Xenopus tropicalis: one gene and its partners. The protein of the gene in region 2 purifies or fractionates together with the protein of the main gene of each other region. This does not show direct contact. Links are inferred from orthologs where the notes say so. Each region holds a gene or a part of one and is shown on either strand. Other genes may lie near its edges. The genes, in order: ibtk, eif4a1, eif4e, eif4g3, npm1 and eif3b.

What was found.
Region 1: the proteins of eif4a1 (region 2) and ibtk purify together in Homo sapiens (co-immunoprecipitation; 4 studies listed by BioGRID and IntAct, counting the BioPlex papers as one, with this or other methods). This does not show direct contact. The link is inferred for Xenopus tropicalis from reciprocal best matches to the Homo sapiens genes EIF4A1 and IBTK.
Region 3: the proteins of eif4a1 (region 2) and eif4e purify together in Homo sapiens (affinity purification with mass spectrometry; 8 studies listed by BioGRID and IntAct, counting the BioPlex papers as one, with this or other methods). This does not show direct contact. The link is inferred for Xenopus tropicalis from reciprocal best matches to the Homo sapiens genes EIF4A1 and EIF4E.
Region 4: the proteins of eif4a1 (region 2) and eif4g3 purify together in Homo sapiens (co-immunoprecipitation; 6 studies listed by BioGRID and IntAct, counting the BioPlex papers as one, with this or other methods). This does not show direct contact. The link is inferred for Xenopus tropicalis from reciprocal best matches to the Homo sapiens genes EIF4A1 and EIF4G3.
Region 5: the proteins of eif4a1 (region 2) and npm1 purify together in Homo sapiens (affinity purification with mass spectrometry; 3 studies listed by BioGRID and IntAct, with this or other methods). This does not show direct contact. The link is inferred for Xenopus tropicalis from reciprocal best matches to the Homo sapiens genes EIF4A1 and NPM1.
Region 6: the proteins of eif4a1 (region 2) and eif3b purify together in Homo sapiens (affinity purification with mass spectrometry; 4 studies listed by BioGRID and IntAct, counting the BioPlex papers as one, with this or other methods). This does not show direct contact. The link is inferred for Xenopus tropicalis from reciprocal best matches to the Homo sapiens genes EIF4A1 and EIF3B.

What each region holds. Positions count from the first base shown.
Region 1 is NC_030681.2:88,869,423-88,872,922, reverse strand, and holds part of ibtk (inhibitor of Bruton tyrosine kinase), read right to left. Parts: intron 2,760-3,500; coding exon 2,642-2,759; intron 1,393-2,641; coding exon 1,332-1,392; intron 700-1,331; coding exon 572-699; intron 245-571; coding exon 132-244; intron 1-131. UniProt on the Homo sapiens protein: Acts as an inhibitor of BTK tyrosine kinase activity, thereby playing a role in B-cell development. Down-regulates BTK kinase activity, leading to interference with BTK-mediated calcium mobilization and NF-kappa-B-driven transcription.
Region 2 is NC_030679.2:152,592,812-152,596,779, forward strand, and holds the start of eif4a1 (eukaryotic initiation factor 4A-I), read right to left. Parts: upstream 2,801-3,968; 5' UTR 2,796-2,800; coding exon 2,773-2,795; intron 1-2,772. UniProt on the Homo sapiens protein: ATP-dependent RNA helicase which is a subunit of the eIF4F complex involved in cap recognition and is required for mRNA binding to ribosome.
Region 3 is NC_030677.2:74,891,105-74,895,241, reverse strand, and holds the start of eif4e (eukaryotic translation initiation factor 4E), read right to left. Parts: upstream 2,801-4,137; 5' UTR 2,795-2,800; coding exon 2,777-2,794; intron 1-2,776. UniProt on the Homo sapiens protein: Acts in the cytoplasm to initiate and regulate protein synthesis and is required in the nucleus for export of a subset of mRNAs from the nucleus to the cytoplasm which promotes processes such as RNA capping, processing and splicing.
Region 4 is NC_030683.2:132,837,518-132,841,017, forward strand, and holds part of eif4g3 (eukaryotic translation initiation factor 4 gamma 3), read left to right. Parts: intron 1-230; coding exon 231-335; intron 336-431; coding exon 432-564; intron 565-664; coding exon 665-762; intron 763-1,070; coding exon 1,071-1,164; intron 1,165-1,263; coding exon 1,264-1,387; intron 1,388-2,040; coding exon 2,041-2,261; intron 2,262-2,380; coding exon 2,381-2,487; intron 2,488-2,639; coding exon 2,640-2,812; intron 2,813-2,971; coding exon 2,972-3,097; intron 3,098-3,324; coding exon 3,325-3,406; intron 3,407-3,500. UniProt on the Homo sapiens protein: Component of the protein complex eIF4F, which is involved in the recognition of the mRNA cap, ATP-dependent unwinding of 5'-terminal secondary structure and recruitment of mRNA to the ribosome. Functional homolog of EIF4G1.
Region 5 is NC_030679.2:20,070,074-20,073,573, forward strand, and holds part of npm1 (nucleophosmin), read left to right. Parts: intron 1-785; coding exon 786-829; intron 830-1,578; coding exon 1,579-1,657; intron 1,658-2,102; coding exon 2,103-2,192; intron 2,193-2,853; coding exon 2,854-2,964; intron 2,965-3,226; coding exon 3,227-3,301; intron 3,302-3,500. UniProt on the Homo sapiens protein: Involved in diverse cellular processes such as ribosome biogenesis, centrosome duplication, protein chaperoning, histone assembly, cell proliferation, and regulation of tumor suppressors p53/TP53 and ARF.
Region 6 is NC_030685.2:31,106,362-31,110,336, reverse strand, and holds the start of eif3b (eukaryotic translation initiation factor 3 subunit B), read right to left. Parts: upstream 2,801-3,975; 5' UTR 2,677-2,800; coding exon 2,586-2,676; intron 1-2,585.

The DNA of each region.
Region 1 (3,500 bases), on a different chromosome or scaffold from region 2:
CCCATACAGATCTCTCAGTGAAGCCTGATCACACAGCAAGTATACTTTGCTTCAATATGGCTCTTGCATTTATCCTTTCATCAGTATGAAAAAAAAAAATAACTCAAATACTCAACAAAACACACAAATACCTGTCGAAGGTGAACTGTGAATGATGTCAGAAAGATTGTATCCTCCAGAGCTATCCAAACGTTTTCTTGGCTTCTTTTTGGCTTTTGCCTTAGATTTTTTAAATGCAGCTTCCCTATAAAAGACATTTATTTAGCATTTGCTTGGTAACTACAGTTAAGTTCACCTTAAATACTGCTGATTTCACTGTAGACTCATTTATCAACACAATTCAATGTTCCGAAGCATATTGCCAAGCTGTTTACCCACAGTGCAGATTTTTCTCCCAGAATTCCAGCATAAATGGACAACAACAAGGCTCATTTACAACTGTGGTACAATATGCCAAGAGCAAAATTGACATTTTTTTCAGTTATGTAGATTTTGCTTCCCCCCCCGGATTACAAATTTCAAGCATTAGAATGTTTCCCCTCAAGCTACAATAATTAAATTGTATTCTTACTGAGTGTTTTGGTAAGAATAAATATCATCCTGAACAGAGACAAGGCTTTTAATATCTTCAGACTGTAAGATACTAACATCTGGCCCATCCAGATATGGTGTGATTATTCTCTTGTTCATGGGTGGAATCTGTATAAACACACACAAAAACAATAAAAAGAGGGACTATTGATTAAATCCTGGTGTGTCTGAACAGAACCCCCAAAAAAGATATATACATACAGAATCTACTTCAATTACACTTTAGCACTAAAATATGAGTACAGGTATGGGATTCCTTATCCGAAAACACAATATTCAGAAAGTTCCGAATTACGAAAAGGCCATCTCCCACAGACTCCATTATAACCAAATAATTCTAATTTTTAAAAATAATTTCCTTTTTCTCTGTAATAATAAAACAGTACCTTGTACTTGATCCCAACTAAGATATAATTAATCCTTATTTGAGGCAAAACAAGCCTACTCGGTTTATTCAATATTGAAATGATTTTTAGTAGACTTAAGTTATAAAGATCCAAATTACGGAAAGATCCCTTAACTGGAAAAACTCCAGGTCCTGAGCATTCTGGATAACAGGTCCAATACCTGCATAGGATAATGAATCAAGTTGTAGACACTATAGATAGTATCACTGTGTGTGAACATGCCCAAAAAGTGGTCTGGTGTTGCCAGATACCTACAACTTATACATTAAGTAATAGGTAACCTATATATTAAAATTACTATATAAAAAAAAAAGCTCAACAGAAAAGAAATACCATTTTTCTATATGCTTCTGAGAGATCTTTCAACACATCATCACTCAAAACATCCAAAGACCTGAGGAGGAAAAGAAAATAAAGGTGCAATAAACATAAAATTGCCAGTAAGGTTTTAGCTTTGAAGGTCTGATTTATGTCTTCACTTTAAAGGAAGCCACTAAAAATGTGTTAGATGATACTTGTGTAGCCATGCAAGAATATAATTTAAGTTGCTTTGTTTCATTAAAACTTCTACTGTTTGTAAGCCACTAGGAAGTATTGTGTGATAGCAAAATGCAGTAAGCCACCCTTACTTTCCTTTCACTTCATAATGTGGAATTTGTTTATATTTCTTTTTTTCTACAGCTAATGTAAAAAATGGGAAAATGTATTTTTCTCTACTGAATGACAGCTAGTGGTATTAATGCATCAGGTTATGTGGAAACAAAGGCAAAAGGTAGTCCAGATCCACGACCCCATAACTACTAATATTAATCCTTAAAGCAATAAAGTATTGAATGCATTTAGATTTCACTTGATGTGATGAGTTGCTAAACATAAACAAACATTTGCCAGTTTTACTGTGTAACACCCCATGAATACTATCTACCACAGTTTGTGCTTATGATTTTTATTAATTAAACCTTTAAAGGGGACTGTGGCTTTGTCAGAGTGTAGGCATATGTATTTCAATGCATTCTGCCCATGTATAGGTATTTAAAAATCAAATGATTTTATAGAATCTGATAAGTATCTTCATTATCTGTTTAAACAGAGCAGAATGATATTCATACACTAAAGTTTTGCTTTATTAAGCAGAAGAACTAGCACTTAGGAAGCCCCAGTCCATCTATTATTTGGGGTGTGAAATACACAGAAATGTACTGCACTGTACAGGTATAGGACCTGTTATCCAGAATGCTCAGGACCAAGGGTATTCCGGATAAGGGGTCTTTCTGTAATTTTTTCTCCGTACCTTAAGTCTACTGAAAAATCAATACGATATTAAACCCAATGGGAATGTTTTGCATCCAATACGGATTAATTATATCTTAATTGGGATCAAATACAAGGTATTGTTTAATTATTGCAGAAAAAAGGAAATCAATTTTAAAAATCTGAATTATTTGATTAAAATAGAGTCTATGGGAGAAAGGCTTTCCGTAATTTGGAGCTTTCTGGATAACGGATCCTATACATGTACAAGAAAAGACACACAGGAATCTATAAAGCTAGAATGAAACATTCCAATTACATTAATGATATGAACTGGAAAAGGAAAGCATGTGGAACTACTGAAATAAAATACATAAATATGTTGCCCGTACCTTGCTTCTAGTAAAGCTCCCATGTTTAGCACTATAAACTGCAAGCAAGAAAGCTTCAGCTGGTCAGCATTGTACAAGGCTGCAATTTCCAGGAGTTCGGCTGCATTCTTCAGTGTAACTGGAAGTTAAACATTCATATAAATATAAATGCAACCTTATGACAAGACATTTTTGTAACTTCCAGATGGAAAATGTTTTTAGCTCCCTGCTTATTCCTCTCCCACTTATTCAGCTTACACAGACATGGAGAATCATGTAATACTCTAGGCATAACATTTGTAGAAACTGTCCCTTAACCTGGTCCACTGACTTAACAGATGTTCCATAAATCGCTCACCAGCACTAGTATTTCCCTGCACTAAGTAGGGTTTAGAGTGGCCTATAAACAAACTTGTTCTTGATCCAACTTTCCAGTGCAATAAATAAAGAATGTATAGATTAAAAATTATAAACATTCCAAAGTTACAAACTTGCTTAATATTATGAAGTAAGATGAAGCCCAGTACCATGTTCTCTGGAACTTAAATCAGTCTTTTTGGATTCCATAATTGCAAGCTGTTTGCACACATAGCCAAGAAATTAGAGGGAACACTGACCATGGAAAATACCCAAGATGAAGTTTGAGACTGCTTTAGTGCAAGGGCCCATGGGGCGTATTGTCAGCCTGTACCCAGAATCAATGAATGCGCCTGGGTGCAGGCACACAGAGTTGATATGCACCAACAATCTCCAAGTATCACGTTTTTTGTGGATATAGCAGTTTTCCAGAATACTTTAAAAGGACAAGAAAAGGCTAAGTCACTTGGGGGTGCCAAAATGTTAGGCACCCCCAAGTGACTTTAATCGCTTACCTTTTACC
Region 2 (3,968 bases):
CATACCAGGGACTGAGTAAGGCTTGTACCCCCCCCCCCATACCAGGGCCAGGGACTGAGTAAGGCTTGTACCCCCCCCATACCAGGGCCAGAGTAAGGCTTGTACCCCCCCATACCAGGGCCAGGGACTGAGTAAGGCTTGTACCCCCCCCCATACCAGGGCCAGAGTAAGGCTTGTACCCCCCCCCCCCCATACCAGGGCCAGGGACTGAGTAAGGCTTGTACCCCCCCCCCCATACCAGGGCCAGGGACTGAGTAAGGCTTGTACCCCCCCCCCCCATACCAGGGCCAGGGACTGAGTAAGGCTTGTACCCCCCCCATACCAGGGCCAGGGACTGAGTAAGGCTTGTACCCCCCCCCCCCATACCAGGGCCAGGGACTGAGTAAGGCTTGTCCCCCCCCCCCCCCATACCAGGGCCAGGGACTGAGTAAGGCTTGTACCCCCCCCATACCAGGGCCAGGGACTGAGTAAGGCTTGTACCCCCCCATACCAGGGCCAGGGACTGAGTAAGGCTTGTCCCCCCCCCCCATACCAGGGCCAGGGACTGAGTAAGGCTTGTACCCCCCCCATACCAGGGCCAGGGACTGAGTAAGGCTTGTACCCCCCCCCCCCCATACCAGGGCCTGAGTAAGGCTTGTACCCCCCCCATACCAGGGCCAGGGACTGAGTAAGGCTTGTACCCCCCCCCCATACCAGGGCCAGGGACTGAGTAAGGCTTGTACCCCCCCCCCCCATACCAGGGCCAGGGACTGAGTAAGGCTTGTACCCCCCCATACCAGGGCCAGGGACTGAGTAAGGCTTGTACCCCCCCCCCATACCAGGGACTGAGTAAGGCTTGTACCCCCCCCCCCCATACCAGCGCCAGGGACAGAGTAAGGCTTGTACCCCCCCCCCATACCAGCGCCAGGGACAGAGTAAGGCTTGTACCCCCCCCCCATACCAGGGACTGAGTAAGGCTTGTACCCCCCCCCCATACCAGGGCCAGGGACTGAGTAAGGCTTGTACCCCCCCCCCCATACCAGGGCCAGGGACTGAGTAAGGCTTGTACCCCCCCCCCCATACCAGGGCCAGGGACTGAGTAAGGCTTGTACCCCCCCCCCCCCCCATACCAGGGCCAGGGACTGAGTAAGGCTTGTACCCCCCCCCCCCATACTAGGGCCATATACAACAGGAGGCAGGGTAAGTACATACCAAGGGGACATAAAAGGGCAGGGGCAAATGAGTGTTTATGCCCCCATTTTAAGGGGGCTGGGGTGAGATTATACCCCATACTGAGGGGCATACAGTAGGGCTGGGGGTGAGGGATTATACCCCATACTAAGAGGCAGGGGGAACTTACCCCCCACACTAAGGGGCATACAGGGGGAACTTACCCCCCACACTAAGGGGCATACAGGGGGAACTTACCCCCCACACTAAGGGGCATACAGGGGGAACTTACCCCCCACACTAAGGGGCATACAGGGGGAACTTACCCCCCACACTAAGGGGCATACAGGGGGAATTTACCCCCCACACTAAGGGGCATACAGGGGGAATTTACCCCCCACACTAAGGGGCATACAGGGGGAATTTACCCCCCACACTAAGGGGCATACAGGGGGAATTTACCCCCCACACTAAGGGGCATACAGGGGGAATTTACCCCCCACACTAAGGGGCATACAGGGGGAATTTACCCCCCACACTAAGGGGCATACAGGGGGAATTTACCCCCCACACTAAGGGGCATACAGGGGGAATTTACCCCCCACACTAAGGGGCATACAGGGGGAATTTACCCCCCACACTAAGGGGCATACAGGGGGAATTTACCCCCCACACTAAGGGGCATACAGGGGGGTTAATGCCCCATACCATAAGGCAGGGAGGGGTTAATGCCCCATACCATAAGGCAGGGAGGGGTTAATGCCCCATACCATAAGGCAGGGAGGGGTTAATGCCCCATACCATAAGGCAGGGAGGGGTTAATGCCCCATACCATAAGGCAGGGAGGGGTTAATGCCCCATACCATAAGGCAGGGAGGGGTTAATGCCCCATACCATAAGGCAGGGAAGGGTTAATGCCCCATACCATAAGGCAGGGAAGGGTTAATACCCCATACCATAAGGCAGGGAGGGGTTAATGCCCCATACCATAAGGCAGGGAGGGGTTAATGCCCCATACCATAAGGCAGGGAAGGGTTAATGCCCCATACCATAAGGCAGGGAAGGGTTAATGCCCCATACCATAAGGCAGGGAAGGGTTAATGCCCCACAGAGTCACATGACAGCCCGTACCCCCTGTGAGTGTTGGGGGGCCCCGGGGGGGCAGCAGAGAGAATTACCCCTACCCCGTGACCCCCATCCCCCAGCCACGTGCAGAGCCGGAAACAGCCGCCATTTTAGCAGTAACTCCGCCCCCCGCCGCCATCTTGTCCTCTCCCCCCCCCCACTCCCTCACACACAGGGGCCGCCGGGCCGCCATGACACCTCCCACGTGGGTGGGGGGAACGGAAAGTGCTGAGGGGCCGCCAGGGGCCCGGGTAGAGCCGAGACTGGGCCTCCGGTACAGCGGGAAACGGCTCCGGGCGCGGCTGGGGAAGGCCTCGGCACACAGGGAGGGGTTGGGGCTAGGGCGGCAGTTGGATTACCGATAACGGCCACTGGCAGGGCGGGGGGATAAACAGGGAACAGCGCGGCCCTCACTCTCCCTGCCTGGTTACCCGTATCGCTCCCCGTATCGCTCCCCGTATCGCTCCCCAGGCCTCCAGGCCGCTCCCTCTCACTCACCGACTCTCGTAGCTCGCAGACATTCTTCTGAGCGGAAGCTTCTAACAAACCGGTGACCGTCCCTTATATAGCCTCCTGCCGGCTCCACCCCTCAGGCTACTGATTGGTTAGCGCCAAGGCGGCTCAGGGGACGTTTCTTTAGCAGGTAGGACGGCTCAAGAAAGCCTCGAAGCCGATTGGCTGCCACTGCTTATATTTAATAAGGGGTCGGCGCTTACCGCCCTGTCTGACCGGCTCAGATCCCGATTGGCTCTAGGGGAAGACAAGCTCCTCCCCACCACGGCAGCAATCTCGCCCATTGTCATGCAGACTTCCCTAACGGCGATTACTATTGGCCCGCTGTCCTCACGTGACGCACAGTCCCGCCAACCTCTGCTGGCGCTCATTAGGCGGCAGCCCTGTCATTAAATTACTTCTCTCCGTCAGTTGGCTAGCTGCCGTCTGCGTCACTTCCGCTCCAATGTGACAGAATTCCTTAGCATTTTTTTTTACATTTATTGTGTAAGAAACCCATTCACCGAGCGCCATTTCCTAATAGTAATTCTGTTTGTGGCCCCCATTTTGATTCTTTATTGGACTCAATGTTTCCGGTGCCCCTCAGGCAGCAAAAGCCGGAAGTGTAACGAAGAAACCCCCCCCCCCCCCCCCCCCCCATTCCAGTCACCCCGCACCCATAGCTCCCGTGTGGCCCCCACTCTGCCTCCTCAGCCCCCCATTGCACCCCATTCCCACACAGGAACCAACACACACACATTACTATACAACTTTTTTATTCAGCTGCTTTTTTTCCATTTTATTTTTTGACAAAAAAAAAAAAAAAACTACAAATTTGTCCCAGAAAACATTTAAATAAGAAATGAACTGTGTAAAAAAAAAAAGTAGGCAAAGAATAAAGTGTTTGGGGGGGGGGGGGGATATCGTGGAAAGGGGGGGGCACAGGACGAGGAAAGACCACCAGCGAAACGGGCGGAGGGGCGGGGACTCCCGCTGGATGTCATTTCTCCACAGAATCCTTCACTGTACAGGTGGGCGAGGCTCCCGCGGGGGTAACAGGTAGTAGGGTCCCTCGGGAAGGGGACACAGACGACGCTCTGCGCAGCCCCCCCCCGGAGAGGCCGCTGCAAGTAAAAAGGCTCCGCAGAGTCCCCTGCAATAATGGCTCCTGGGGGGGCGTCACACCGCCAGCTTGCAGTGGC
Region 3 (4,137 bases), on a different chromosome or scaffold from region 2:
TAACTAACAATAGGAAAAAGTATGTTTAGCACATGCCCTATTCACAGAGTTTATGTTAAAAAGTAGTGTATATTGTCCCCTTAATAAGTGACTAGTCTAGGTGAAATTTAGCTTAAATGCTCCTGGAGAGAAACAAAAAGGGATCTTGATATACTAATGTCAAATAAACATTTGCTCTATCCAACAATCTAGGAAACCTGCGAGATCGATCTGCCAAGACAAGACAAATCATCACACTTAAAGCGCATTTTCGTGGAAGATGCATTGGTCCACATATACCTTGAGACTGTAATGGAGACATTATGAGAACACAGATTACTTTTTGAATGCTGCATTCCAGCCAGTGATCAAAATGCCCTTGTCTTCCAGCAGCCATTCAAATTCATTTAAATGGGAAACTTGATAAGACTATGGTGCAGCCAGGGACAGCTTACACTCACTCATGTTATTAAGTGATCCCCGTGTGAATGTGTTAGCTTATTTCCCAAATCTGGTCCTTGGGAGGTCCAAGAGGACTGAAATGCTCCATGTAACAGAATCAATACATTTGGGGGTAAAAAGTGTGTGAAAGGTTTTAGAAATAAACTAGCAAAATCACAAAGCAACAAGTGCTAAATAGTAGATTAAAGAATAGCTACTACATTTTTTCAGAATGTTATTTCCTTCATACTAAAGCCGGGCCAATAAGACTGCTCAAAAAAAAACAAAAAAAGAAAGCCTGTGGGTTGCAAAATCTGCTTGTTCTAGTGACCCCCCCCCCCCCTACCAATGAATGGATCTTTATGGATATAGCCATTCAAAACTGAAATACACCTGTTACAAAAAATGACAGACACCTAAGTATACAATAGACTGAATGGCCGCGAATGAGCACTTCTCAGCCAGTGGAGAACTGGAGGTCACTAGGATCGGCGCGACCCTTCAAAAATTTTCAACTGCTCCAGAACTCAGACTTTTTTGTATGACATCAGTCTTAAAATATTCATGCAGTATAGCATATGGCTGACCCACAACACTGAATACACACTGCTTTATTAAAAAAAAAAACTTTAAGCAACTTCAGCCTGTACGGATATTACAACCCAAAGCATTCCCACCACCACAGACTGCCTTGAGGAAAAAAAAACGCACCACAATATCATACGCACATAAATATTTCTACACATATATAAATATCTAGTTTTATAGCTGCAAGGAGAATTACTAGCACTTGCTGATGTCTGTAGCCAGTGTCTCTAACTATGCAACTGTTGTGGTACAGGTATGGGATCCCTTATCCGGAAACCCATTATCCAAATTACGGAAAGGCCGTCTCCCACAGACTCCATTTTAAGCAAATATTTCTTATTTTTAAAAAATGATTTTCTTTTTCTCTGTAACTATAAAACAGGACCTTTTACTTGATTCTAACCAAGATATAATTAATCCTTATTGAAGGCAAAACAGTCCTATTTGGGCTTATTCAATATTTAAATGATTTTTAGCAGACTTAAGTTATGAAGATCCAAATTACAGAAAGATCCCTTATCCGGAAACCCCCAGGTCATGAGCATTCTGGATAACAGGTCCCATACCTGTACTTGATTCTAACCAAGATATAATTAATCCTTACTGGAGGTAAAACAATCCTTTTGGGTTTATTCAATATTTAAATTATTCTTAGCAGACTTAAGTTATGGAGTTTCAAATTACGGAAAGCTCTCTTATCCGGAAACCCCAAGGTCCCCAGGCATTGGATTACAGGTCCCATACCGGTACCAATTTCTGTGCCCATTCTTCTAGTTCTAATTAAAAGCAATACTGTGCAGCCAGGGAGCCACCTAGTCATGTCACAATCCCTCAGTCACGCCAATTAAATGCAATGCCATTCTCTGTAGTGTTTCACAGCCATGACATGTGCATTCTTTGGCCATGCATCAGGTTTCTACTTATTACAACAAACGTGATTTTTACTGGGACGACACCATGTGATTAGACAAAATGACTAACTTCTTTCAATTTCAGGGACTGCAAAAGAGCTGAAAGATAAGTCACTAGATTCCCCTTGTGGGCTTTCTGCGTGTGATTATTGGCGACAAGGCCGGCCAGCTGCCCATGTGAGGGAAAGGAGACTTACAAGGAAGTGAATGTACAGACATATGCCTGCGCCTTTTCAATGAGTAAGGCAACGTGCAGTAGAAGCTGGAGGAGGAGGGGACACCCCTGCCATATTAACTTGTGCAACACGATGGGGGGCGGGGAGTTTATGAGAGAAGCAATACGGTATCGATGCAATAGTGACAGGTTAGCCGCAGTAACCAAACCCAACATGGACACGGCGCACTCGGACTGGAATGCCGGGACGCGCCCGTAAATGGCCGGTGCAGCCAAAAAGTCTCGCCTCCCTGTGTGTGCCCGCCACGCGGCCAGCCGGCTCCTCGTCACATGCTGACGCGCACACACATGTACAATAATGGAGGGGGCGGGAGCGCGCACGGGTGTCCCACACACACACACACGGTGTAAGTAGCAGCCATTCCCCTAGCAATGCGACCGGGACATAGGGTGGGGCAAAGATCGCGGCATCCCCTACGATGCCTGTAGCTGCAGTAAAAGCAGCCGCCGCCGCCTAGAACAGCAGAAACATGTTACTTTGGACTCCTCCCTCGGCTTTCTGAGCGCCTAGCGGAGACCTGGCCGCCCCCTTGCTTTAATAAGTGTCAGTCGCTCCGCCAAAGCAACATCTAAAACCATGTGCTTGTGGGTTTGCCTGTACACGAGTCACGCATCTACTCACCGGCTCCACAGACGCCATTTTAGATGGTTGTGACTGCACAGCCGCCGCTGGCAGGAAAGAAGAGGAGGTTAAAAAAAAACTACTTTCAAACCCGGTTGGTTTGGGGCGTGCCACGTGACGTCCGCCGACAGCTGAGTCTGCGTAGCCCCGCCCAGCAACCTGTAAAGAGGGAGAGGCCGCGCAAGGGGTGCTGGGAGTTGTAGTGTAAATGGTCGCTTGGGAACTACTACTATTACGATTTGGTTCTGTGTCACTTGCAAGGCATTGGTAGGCGGGCATCTGATCTTTCATTAACGTTGAAGGACACAAAGGAAGTGTATGTAAAGGTGCAACATATGCAGGGCAGCTGGTAACTTATGCCTAAAGTGGCCTTGGCTTCTGATGTGAATCACACCCAGTACTTTCAATACCGAGCACTTGGCTAAAGTTTAGTTCTTTCCTCAAACGATTAAGTAAACATCTTTTGCTAGCATTTCCTTTTGTAAAAATGTTCTGTTTTATTTTTAAAATCGCTTTCTGATTTGTATTTTCCACTTTTGTAGCTATATAATAAGATATAAACTTTATAATTCACCATGAGCAGTTAAATAATTATTTTGCCCTCACCAAGCTTTTATATCTCATCAGAGAGGTTTAGCCACAGAGCAGATCCAAGACTAATGGAAGCCCCTGTTTATACAGGGTGGGAACCAGGGGAACTCTGAATGATAAGCAGTTTCAGTATTGCTGTGGCATACAGAAAACTTATGTTACACTACTGTGCATCTATTTGACATTGTGGCCGCAGCCTTGAAGAACTGAATTATTAAAATTATTTACTTCTCACCCATAAATACACGTATTTCCCGAAACAAAATGACACCAGAAAATTGCATTATACAATTTAGGGTTACACCTAAAATTTAATTTCAAAGGTTTACAGAAGCTATCATACATCAGTAAGACTACTTTTGATGAATAACAACTATTATAACAGATGTCCAAAGCACCATATAGAATTATGGGTAGGGCTGGGCGATATACCGTTTAATACCGAATACCGGTGTTTTTTTTAAAAACTATATTAATTTTTCAGATACCGCAATACCGGGGTGTCAGGGTACTCACCCGTGCGGCCTGGTCTCGCACGCCTCCTTGCGTGTGCATCCTATTGTCCGCGGGACGTTGCACACGCGCGTCCAGGTGCGCGTGCGTCAAAGCGCACGTACATGTCAAAGCGTGCACGTCCGTGACGCGCTGATGGCGCCGGTTCTGCGTATGCGTGGGGGGTATTTAAAGCTATCAAACTCCTCCTCCTGTGCTATGTTGTCTGCGGCCTTGCCTGGGAAACTAAGCCTGCCTGATTTACCTTTACGACTTTC
Region 4 (3,500 bases), on a different chromosome or scaffold from region 2:
AGAGCTCTGATTCTCTGTACTTCCTGCTCCTGGGCTGCTCTCTTTCCCATGGTCAGACAGGCCCCCCCCCCTGGGTAAGTGAATCCAATCTCCCCCCAGTACTTACCCAGGTACAGAGCTCTGATTCTCTGTACTTCCTGCTCCTGGGCTGCTCTCTTTCCCATGGTCAGACAGGAATATAACATGACATTGTGTTTCTCAGTTAATGGCTAATACCCACTCTGTTACAGCCACGTATGGATCAGTACTTTAACCAGATGGAGAAGATCGTTAAGGAGAGAAAAACCTCGTCTAGAATCCGCTTTATGCTGCAGGATGTCATAGACCTCCGGCTGGTGGGTGGAGCCATAATAATAATATAGTGCTCCCTGTCCCCCCCCCCCAGTTTATGTCTTTTGTGCAATGAGATAAGAATGTCGCCCTTTCGGCAGAGTAACTGGGTGTCCCGCCGGGCAGACCAGGGGCCCAAGACCATCGAGCAGATCCATAAAGAGGCCAAGATAGAGGAACAGGAGGAGCAGAGGAAAGTGCAGCAGTTAATGACCAAAGAGAAGAGGAGACCAGGTAAGGAGAGGCACCGCGGCCCCAACGTCCCCCTGCGGGGGGGCCTTATCCCTTTCAGGCAGCAGGGGGCGCTGTGCTTACAGCCTGTGCTTGTCCCCAGCAGGGGTGCAGAGAGTGGATGAAGGCGGATGGAACACTGTGCAGGGGGCAAAGAATAACAGGGTGCTGGACCCTTCCAAGTTTCTGAAAATCACTAAGGTAAGGAGGCTGCCCCCTCCCGTGGCACTGAGCTCAGCCCATGCCTTGTTGCTTTGGTTAGGGGGTTCCTCCGATAAATCTGTGCCAGCCTTGCCCGCAGTTACTGGATTAATTACCCCCCTCCTCTGTGGTATCTGTAGAGTGCTAGCTTCTCGTTCTCCTGTATGTGCCCTTCTGAGTGACGCCCTGGCATCTCTCCCCTGGCATCTCTCCTGGCACAGCCTTACAGGTCTCTGCGTGTATTACAGGGCATTCAGGGTGTGCCCAGGGGATTTTGTATTTACCCCCCCTCTCTTTTTTGCCCTCAGCCCACTATAGATGAGAAGATCCAGTTGGTTCCCAAAGCTCAGCCTGGCAGCTGGTTAAAGGGGAGCAGCGGAGGTGCCAAGGCTAGTGAGACTGGTAAGAGCTCAGGCTTCCCTCTCTGGGCTGGGGTAGTTAGTAGCCACAAACCCCACGTGCCCCCCCAGCTAATGCATTGCTCATTGTCTGTTCTGTTAGAATCTCTGAGACCGGGAGCCCCCAGCCTGAACAGGTTCTCTGCTCTGCAGCAGCCGCTCTCCTCTGTGTCTTCCTCCTCCTCATCGTCCCCCTCTGAGCTGGACTCTCGCAGGTTACTAACCAGGTAATGTGGCCCTCACATTGCTCTGTGGCCCCTCGCATTGGTCGGTGTCCCATTTTGTATCCTCCCCCACTGCTGCTAGACCTTGGGCATTGTGTTCCTAATTAAAGGGGAAGTAGAACCCACACCTATAAAGCTGCTGAATAAACATGAAACCCAAATTCTTTTTTTTTTTTTTTTTTTTTTCAATGAAAACCCCCAAACCTGTTATAAAGAGATTTAGTCATCTCAGTTGTCAATCAAATATAGCCTGCCCCGCCTCCGTGCCTCAGGCACCTCCTTCTCTTCCCATTTTACACTTACTGCAGGGAACTGCCCCCTCCTCTGCCTATAGTTGGGCACTAGGCCAAAGCCTTAGGAACAGCGCCACAAACTGGCACCTACCTGCCCGCTGTGACTCCCAGGACCCTCTACGAATTCTTTCAATAAATCTGAGGTGCGCAGCATCTGGCGCAGGGAGGTATCACAGGCCTGGTCTCAGCATTGGCTCCTCCCTCCCTATTGTTGGGAGGGGCTTGCCCCAATGGTTCTGGTGGGTAACCAGCTTCCTTCTTTGTGGGCACTTGGAAACCAGGAAGCATTTGCTGATGATCATGGGAGTTGTAGTGATGACCTGATACTAGAACATGTGACCTGACCGTTGTTTTGGGGTTTAGCAGCCGTGGAAGCACGGGGCGAGAGAAGAACGACAAACCCTCTGCGCCCTCCTCCATCCCGTCTGCGCCCCGACCCGGCACCCTCCTGCGCGGCAGCAGCAAAGACTCGGCCGACAATCAGGAAGAGCTGCGCCGGGAGACGCTCCAGACGGTCAAACAGCTGACGAACGTCGCCGAACCCGACAAGAACACTGTGCCAGAGAGACGGCCCAAAGAGCCAGGTGAGACCCTGCGGTTCTGCAGATAAGCTCCGCCCCAAGCCAGGACCCTTGTCTGTGTGAATCATTAGGGGGCGTGGCTATTTCCACCATTTTACTCACACAGATTTATCATTTCCCAGCCAAGTCCGAGCCGTCGGAACCAGACAAACCCACCCTGTCAGAGGAGGAGATGGAGAGGAAATCCAAGGCCATCATTGATGAGTTTCTCCATATTAATGACTACAAGGTACTGTGTGTGTGTGGGAGGGCGGCCCGGTGGGTTGCAATAAGGGCACGAGAAGCCTGGGTGGGTCCAATGGGTGCATATGGCTTTCCCAGACTCCTCCCCTTCCCGATCATTGGTCGCTAGAACCTTCTCCCTGTGTCTCCGCCCATCAGGAGGCCATGCAGTGCGTCGAGGAGCTCGGTGCCAATGGGCCGCTCTCAGTCTTCGTACGACAGGGGGTGGAGTCAACGCTGGAACGGAGTCAGATCACCAGGGATCACATGGGTCAGCTCCTCTACCAGCTGGTCCAGTCTGGCAAACTCAGCAAACTGGACTTCTTCACTGGGTGAGTTTTAATCGCTGGTTTTGTTCTGTTGGGGCTGCGTTAGTACGACTTTAATGTTGCTATGGAAGCGTGGGCACTAGCTGTATCCTGGCCATGACCATAGGGGGGCGGTCTTTTGCTTATGGGTTTGGGTCACAACGTTCTGTGCCAACGCCGCAGGTTCTCGGAAACGCTGGAGCTGGCCGACGACATGGCGATCGACATCCCGCACATCTGGCTGTACCTGGCGGAACTGGTAACCCCCATGTTGAAAGAAGGCGGGATCTCTCTACGAGAGCTGATAACGTGAGTGGGGGGGAATGAAGTTTGTATAGGAGGCGGGACTTAGGGCGATAAGGCAATTACAGCCATGAACCCTGGGCTTTCTTATCATCTGTCAGGAATCTCATACCAAGGGCCACGCAGTCTCCTCTATCCGTTAGGGCCCCATCTGGATTATTTAGTCCCCAAATTCCCCCAGCGTGGCACCATGGCAATGTGGCTCCTCCCATTAACTGCTTTTTCCTACACAGAGAGTTCGGCAAAGCTCTGCTCCCTGTGGGACGCGGAGGGGAATTATTGTCGGAAATATTGCACCTTCTATGCAAACAAATGGTACGTACCGGCTTTCCCAGCGATAGATGGGGGGGGGGGGGCGTTAGGTCTTTCTGTCCCAGTGAGTGGGCCGAGTACCTATTTGGGGTGCTCC
Region 5 (3,500 bases), about 130 Mb from region 2:
CCCTCTTTTAGTGCCTTTGAGGGGGGGGAACTGGAGATGGGAGCTGACCAATTCAGTGCAGTGCTTAAATGCTGACTAACTTGTACTAAGAAAAGAAGAAAACGCATTGCTTCTGCTAAAAAAAATGATCCTTTATTAAAGGAACAGTAACACTAAAAATGAAAGTGTTTTAAAGTAATTAGAATATAATGTGGTGTTGCCCTGCACTGGTAAAATTAGTGTTGGCTACAGAGACTCTACTATAGGTTTATATAAATTAAGCTGCTGTGTAGCCATGGGGGCAGCCATTAAAGCTGGAAAAAGGGAGAAAAGGCACAGGTTACATAGCAGATAACAGATAAGCTCTGTAGAATATAATGGGGTTTTATCTGTTATCTGCTAACTTACCTGTGCCTTTTCTCATTTGAATGGCTGCCCCCATAGCTACACAGCAGCTTTGTTTATATAAACTATAGTTGTCCTTCTAAGGCAAACACACCAGTTGTACCAATGCAGGGCAACAGTATATTATATTGTAATTACATTTATACACTGTCAGATTTTGGTGTTACTGTTCCTTTAAGTTAGCATGAGTGGCTCCTGCGAAGCAAACGGCCTGGTGTGTTTCGGGAAAAATAATCATGGGATAGACCTATGGTTTAAGGGTCTTTCCTGAAAAGTGTCAGGCAGTAGCCACTCAACTTAATAAAGTTTAATCAAATGTATTTTAGTAGGAGTGCAGTTTTTTCTTGTGTGGTGGGTTTTTTTGTTGTCTGTGATGTCTAAATTCTTGTATGTATTTGCAGAAAAAAACACGTCTGGAGGAAGAGGACGAGGCTGATTCAGACGAGTATGTATATAGTGTGCTTTTCTTTATGCTTTGAGAGGAATTGCACTTCTTCAGGCACTGTCCTTTTCCACTGTTGGTTGCTATCGTTCTTTCCCTTAGTTTGTGTAATATTTTAGCTGTTGCAGAACAGCTCTCCTGGCAAAGCAATGTCCCCAAAGCTAACTAAACAGATTGCTCTGTGTGACAATCACCCCACTGAGAGGTTTGAATGTTTTTTTAAAAAAAAACAAAAAACCCCAGTGATTGTAATTGCTAACCTGAAACCCAGGGCTGGTACTCTTGTTAGGAGAAAACCGCACCGACCCGGGGTAGCTGCAAAGCCATGATCCTTTACCTTCTGTCTTCACGCCGCTTGCACAGTAAAGTGAAAAGCCGAACTTTATAACAAAACTGCTTTTTTACTCTACTGCACATGTGCCAGCCTCAGGATTCCCCAGGACAGGCAAGAGATTGAAAAGGATTGCTCATTTGCAGCTACTCTGGGCTGGTGATTTCTCCTAACAGGAGCACCAACCTGGGGTATAAAGTAAGCGATTCTCTGAATAATGAAATGAGATTTAAAGTTCTTATAAGATTTTCAAATAAACATTTATTACAACAAGAGGTAAGATAGAAGAGGAGAGAGGGTGAGCCTGGGGGGAGAAAGGCAGACATGCACCAAGCTCCTGTTGCAGCAAGGCTTCCCAGATTTTGTCAAGTGTACCCATAATAACCATACAGTAATTCACCTGCTTTACCTTTTTATTTAGGGATGATGATGATGATGACGATGATGAGGAGGAGGACGACGAAGATGAGGATGAAGAGGATGAAACACCTGTTAAAAAGGTAACTTGGTGACATTTGTATTTTTTTTCACTTTTGTTAACTGTTACAATGCAGTTACATACAAATATACTAACTGCAACCGGCTGTGACATCTGACATGCAAAAATCCACCAATCACAGGGTAGTACCTCTGTGTGACTCTCCCCCCCCCCCCCCCCAAACCATTTCATATTTGTTGTGCTGACTAGTTTACAACTGTAAAATGGGTAGTTCACCATCTAGACATTTTGTTATGGTTTCCACTGTTTTCTAATAGTTTGTCAGAACATGTTTGTTGTTTTTTAGTTTTGATTCTTGTGGGGTGGGGTCATTGATTCTGTAAACTTATCTAATTTGTTTAGTTTGAGCAAAAGGCAGGTTTTGTACAGGTATCAGACAGCTTCAGCATGAATAAGTATCCAGTTCTTGTGTCTTAGGTATTTTTAAATTTGCATTTCCTTTATAGACTGACTTGCCTACAAAACCAAAGGCAGCTCAAAAGTTAAATCACAATGGGAAGGCTTCTGAATTACCCACACCACTAAAGACTCCAAAAGTAAGTGGGGGGTGCCTAAACTGGGGAGCTGGTAAATCTAATTTAGACTGGAATCCCTGAGAAGCTTGCAATCAGGGTTTGGGTTGAAACAAAGTTACAAGTTTAAGTTTTACTTACACAAGGTCATTTTAAAAGTACCCACAGATCTTGATTATGCACTTTAAGCAATGTTGAAGCTGCTTCTACTTGATAACTAGCAGAGGTAGGGCCCCTGGTGTGCAACCCACCAGGAAACAGCAGTATCTACTGTTGTCTGTCCTGTACCATCTCTGATCCCCTCCAATATCAGATTTTAGATCCAGGGCCTTCTGTCTTCCTGTTTGTACCCAGGTAACTTGTGTGCCCACTACATAAACAGCCAAGTGTACAGAGTTCTATATCGTGTTCAGCCAAATTTTATTTTATTTATTTTTAAAGCAGTTGTCCTAAGATATGTATTCAAAAGTTCCCCCCAGGAAATGCCCCTAGAACTAAACATTGAGCTTGGGGAAGGCCTTTGAAACTCTGGTAAATGTGCCAAACCATATTACATTACAAAATTAAATATGCAGCCATTTCATGATTTTTAAAGTTGCTTAAAGTTTTGAAGATTGGGTGGAGTTCCCCTTTAAATGTAAATATTCTGATTTTCTGTTAAAAGTTTTTTTTTTTTTCTCCTTAGACTCCAGAGCAGAAAGGAAAGCAGGATACAAAGCCTCAAACACCAAAGACACCAAAAACGCCTTTGTCTTTTGATGAAATAAAAGCAAAGATGCAAACTTCATTAGAAAAGGTAATCTAAGTATGAATATAATTTTAATCTGAGCCAATATCAAGCTATCCTGAGGATAAGAAATTTACTTTGTTTTTTCACATCGGCCAAAAAGCTTAAACGGTTCAGTGTAAACATGCCTAACATTAATTCAGAACACTACATCAAGTCAATGGTTACTAACTGGTAATGGGTTAGAGACCTGCAAAGGAAATAGTAGTGTTCTGGCTATTTTAGACATTTTAAGATGTTAAAATGTGCATTCTCACTTTTGTTTCCTCAGGGCACTGTTCTTCCTAAAGTGGAAGTAAAGTTTGCAAACTATGTGAAGAATTGCTTTAGGACAGAAAATCAGAAGGTAAATTTTAAGGCTTTCGGTGCTTAAGAATTTGTATGGTTTATGGTAAATGCTAAAGACCCTTCAGCATGAATTGCATCACTAATGCAGCCTTACACAGGCAGAATTTATGAATTGATTGAATGCTGTAATTGTTAAACTGAGCTCTAGTCTGAAATGTATATTCAGTAATCTGAGTTAAGATGCAGTGTTCAGGCTG
Region 6 (3,975 bases), on a different chromosome or scaffold from region 2:
TGCTTCAAAAGGAATGAACAAATCTTATACAGTGCCCGATTAAACAATTTAAAAAGTTAATTTGGCTTTTCTGAGCATTTTTCAGACATAAAGTAACCTTTTTAAACTTGATAAAGCAAGTCATACTGACACATTATATAATTATTAGAGCAGACTATCAAGGCTGGGATTGGATTACTCTTTATAAGTATATTAGAAGGCATTATGGCATTCTTTCCCATAAAAACGTTCAATACCGGGTAGGTGGTTCTTCATGGTAAGGGCAGCGAAGTTGTGGAATGCCCTGAGTGTAAGGCCATTGTCAAACCAGGCGTATGGCGTATATATTTTTGGCAAGCGTTTTTCAACTTGCCGAAAATATATACGCCATACCTGGTCTGACATTAGCCTAAGGTTTGGGCACCTAATTACAGCATGCAGTCTTTGTCCATAAGAGGTAACTAAGCACACCTACTCTAGCAACCAGGTAACTCCCAGCTATAAATCAAGTGATACACTGCTCAGAAACAGACGACACACCCTTACAAAATTACATATTGGACTAACATACATTATTATTGCTCTTCATTCATGAAGCAGAAAAGCATTGGGACATTGTACAACAAGGAGATAAACTTGCCTAACTGACAACATTGACATACATGCTGTTACAGAAAGATAAGAACTACTGTTCACTTTCTTCCTCCCTTCTTAAAGGAACAGTAACACCAAAAAATGAAAGAGCTTTAAAGTAATAAAATATAATGCACTGTTGCCCTGCAATAGTAAAACTGGTGTGTTTGTTACAGTAACACTACTATAATTGATTTAATAAGCTGCTGTGTAGCCAGGGGGGCAGCCATTCAAGCTGGAAAAAAGGAGAAAAGGCACAGGTTACATAGCAGATAACAAATAAGTTCTGTAGAATACAATGGTGTTTTATCTGTTATCTGCTAAGTGCCTGTGCCTTTTCTCCTTTGAATGGCTGCCTCCATGGCTACATAGCAGCTTATTTATATAAATTATAGTAGACTTTCTGAAGTAAACACACAACTTTTACCAGTGCAGGGCAGCAGCACATTATATTTTAGTTACTTTTATACACTTTAATTTTTTGGTGTTACTGTTCCTTTAATTAAGAGGGGTATCTAGTACCAACTTTAGTTATAATGCACCAGTGTATGCTGCAATGCTGTACAGAAAAGAGAAAAAGTGATGCCAATATGACCTGAGCACGTTTTTTGACATGTCAACCCCAAAAAACGTTTTGCCTAATAAAAGAAAACAATTCTAAGCAAACTTTGCAATTTACATTAATTACAAATGTGTAATTGTTTTAAAGTTGTTTATAGATATTACTGCTATTAAAAGCAGCGTTTGTCATCCCCTCCAAAATAGGCTTTTGTGCATTATGAAGGCAATTCTAAAGAATGCTCAATTAAATATTTTATTTACATTTTAAAATTGTACATAATTGCTATTAAAGCAGTTTTCTCCATCACTGGCTTTGATGTAGCTGCTACTCGTAGCTCTGTGCGTCTTCACCCAAAGACACTGACTTTGAGGATTACATTTGGTGGCTGTTAGAACTTGGTTTGCTTATCTTTATTTTAAGATCCTGATTTTCTATATCCTCACGGTCATTGAGACTTCCTAACTGTTGACTGTTTGTTAAGGTGGCCATACACGGGCTGGTTGTAGCTGCAGATATCGGTCCTTTGGACTGATTCGGCAGCTTATCGGGCCGTGTAGGGGCAGAAACGACAGGCCTGCCCAACCAATATCTGGCCTGAAATTGCCCAGATATCGATCGGGCAGGTTAAAAGATTTAGTCAGATCAGGGACGATCCCCGAACTGGCTGTGCCATTGCTGCCGTTAGAATTTAATCAATCAAATTAGCCTACATTTTCCCGATATCCCCCACCCATAGGTGGGGGATATCGGGAGAAGATCCACTTGCTTGGCGAGCGGATCTTAACGTGTATGGGCACCTTTAGGATAAATACCTCATATCAACAACAAAAAAATCTAAATACCAAGCCTGAAAAAAACAGAGGGCTTGTTTTTGCTACGAGTTAAAATAAAAATGCTGCTCGGCAGCCAGTGGGGCCCCATCTGCTCAAGCTTTGTTTATTTCAAAATTGCTTGATAACTGGGGTGTTGTGTTAGGGCACAAAAATAACCATGAAAGGGTGTGACAGTGCAGCATAGCTGGCTGCTATCAAACTACAACTCCCCACACCAATCCCAGGTACAAAGGACATATTGTGCGATGCGGCAGCTGTTAGCCGTTCTCAGGATGCACATCAGGGATGTCCGCCCAACCTGCAGGCTTCCAGCTGTAACTGAAGGCTGAAAGGTTTTTAGCACCAAGCAGGGAAATTACCAGCTGGGAGTACAGCAACAATAACATCTATAATGAATCCAATTCCATCCCTCTGATAAGAGGCCACATTCTTTCTGCACTGCCAGGGGCCCCCATCTTTTCACACACAGGCCTTATGGGTACTGCATAAGCAGAAGCACTGCCCTAAAAAGAACGCAACATGCAGGCCTAAGTACCCAATATTGTCCAGAGCCAACATTCTAGAAAGCCCTCACTCACCCTCTTCACTGATATCGTCCTCGAATCCCTCCGGATCGCTAAAGGACATCCCTTCTTCCTCCTCCTCCTCGGTGGACTCTTCCTCCTCCATGTCTCTCTCGGGTCGTTCGCTCTCCAGCATTCCTCGGCACTTTCCTGTTTGTCTCTGTTCTACCTACGTTGGATTCTTGCGTCTCTCCGTGGTTGGAATTCGTTTCTCCCCGAGAATAAAGAGAACGCAAGGCTTGGCGCTACTAACAGGCCATGTGCGCTGTACCGGGCACCGGCGGAAAAGGAGCTAACCAAGGCAGGAGACAGGGGTGGCGAGATCACTCAATTCAACTTGCGTGATGTCAAACCCAACGCGCGATATATTAACCACAAAGGAATTATCTCTGTATTTTGTGTTCTTGCTGTTAAAAGAAATATGAGGCTTAAATGATTTAAGCCAAAGTGAGCGCCTCCCCTTTTTCAATTACAAATGGTTTAGTCCAACATGGAGGAAGTGACTGCGCTCAATGTAGCTAAATGGCTAGTACTGGCTGGGTACGACTAACTACAACTTCCGGAATGCTAATGCAGGGGCCAAGCTAGTTGTATCAATGCACAGCTTTAGTACTTTTTTTTTAACTTTGGGCGGTAACTAGGATTTGATTCAAGTGCATTTGTTCACGTTTAACTTGGCATACAATTGCTGTAATATGCCAGCGTTTTATACTTTACAAATATACAGAGGATGGTTTGCAGTTATATTATCTTTTCAGTTAAAGACCTGCATGGGTTGTAATGTAAATTAATTTTTTTAGTAAAGGTTTGTGGTGGAAAACAGCAGCAGACAATCTGCCCTTGTATACCAACTATAGGATTCTTTAAATAAAATAACATTACAAACGGTGCCTGGAGATGGATATTTTGTCTGCTGGTATTTTTGATGTCATGTACTTGGACTTTGAAAAAGCGTATGATACAGTACCTCACAGAAGGTTAATGATAACATTGAGGAATATTGGCCTAGAACGCTAAATTGTGCAAAACTATAAGTTCCGTGTAGGATGCAGCCACTTTGCAGAGCGATTTGACAAAACTGGAAAACTAAATAGCTAACTGGAAAATGAGGTTCAATGTGGGCAAGTGCAAAGTTATGCATTTTGGTAAAAATAATATAAACACAAGCAATCTACTAAATGGTAGTTTGTTGGGGGTATCCTTAATGGAGAAGGATCTGGGTTTTTTTTATAGATAATAAGTTGTGTAATGCCAGGCAGTGTCATTCTGTGGCTACTAAAGCAAATAAAGTGCTGCCTTGTATAAAAAATGGCATTGACTCAAGTGATGAAAACATAATTTTGCCCCTTTATAGGTCTCTGGTAAGGCCTCACCTTGAGTATGCAGTGCAGTTTTGGGCTCCAGT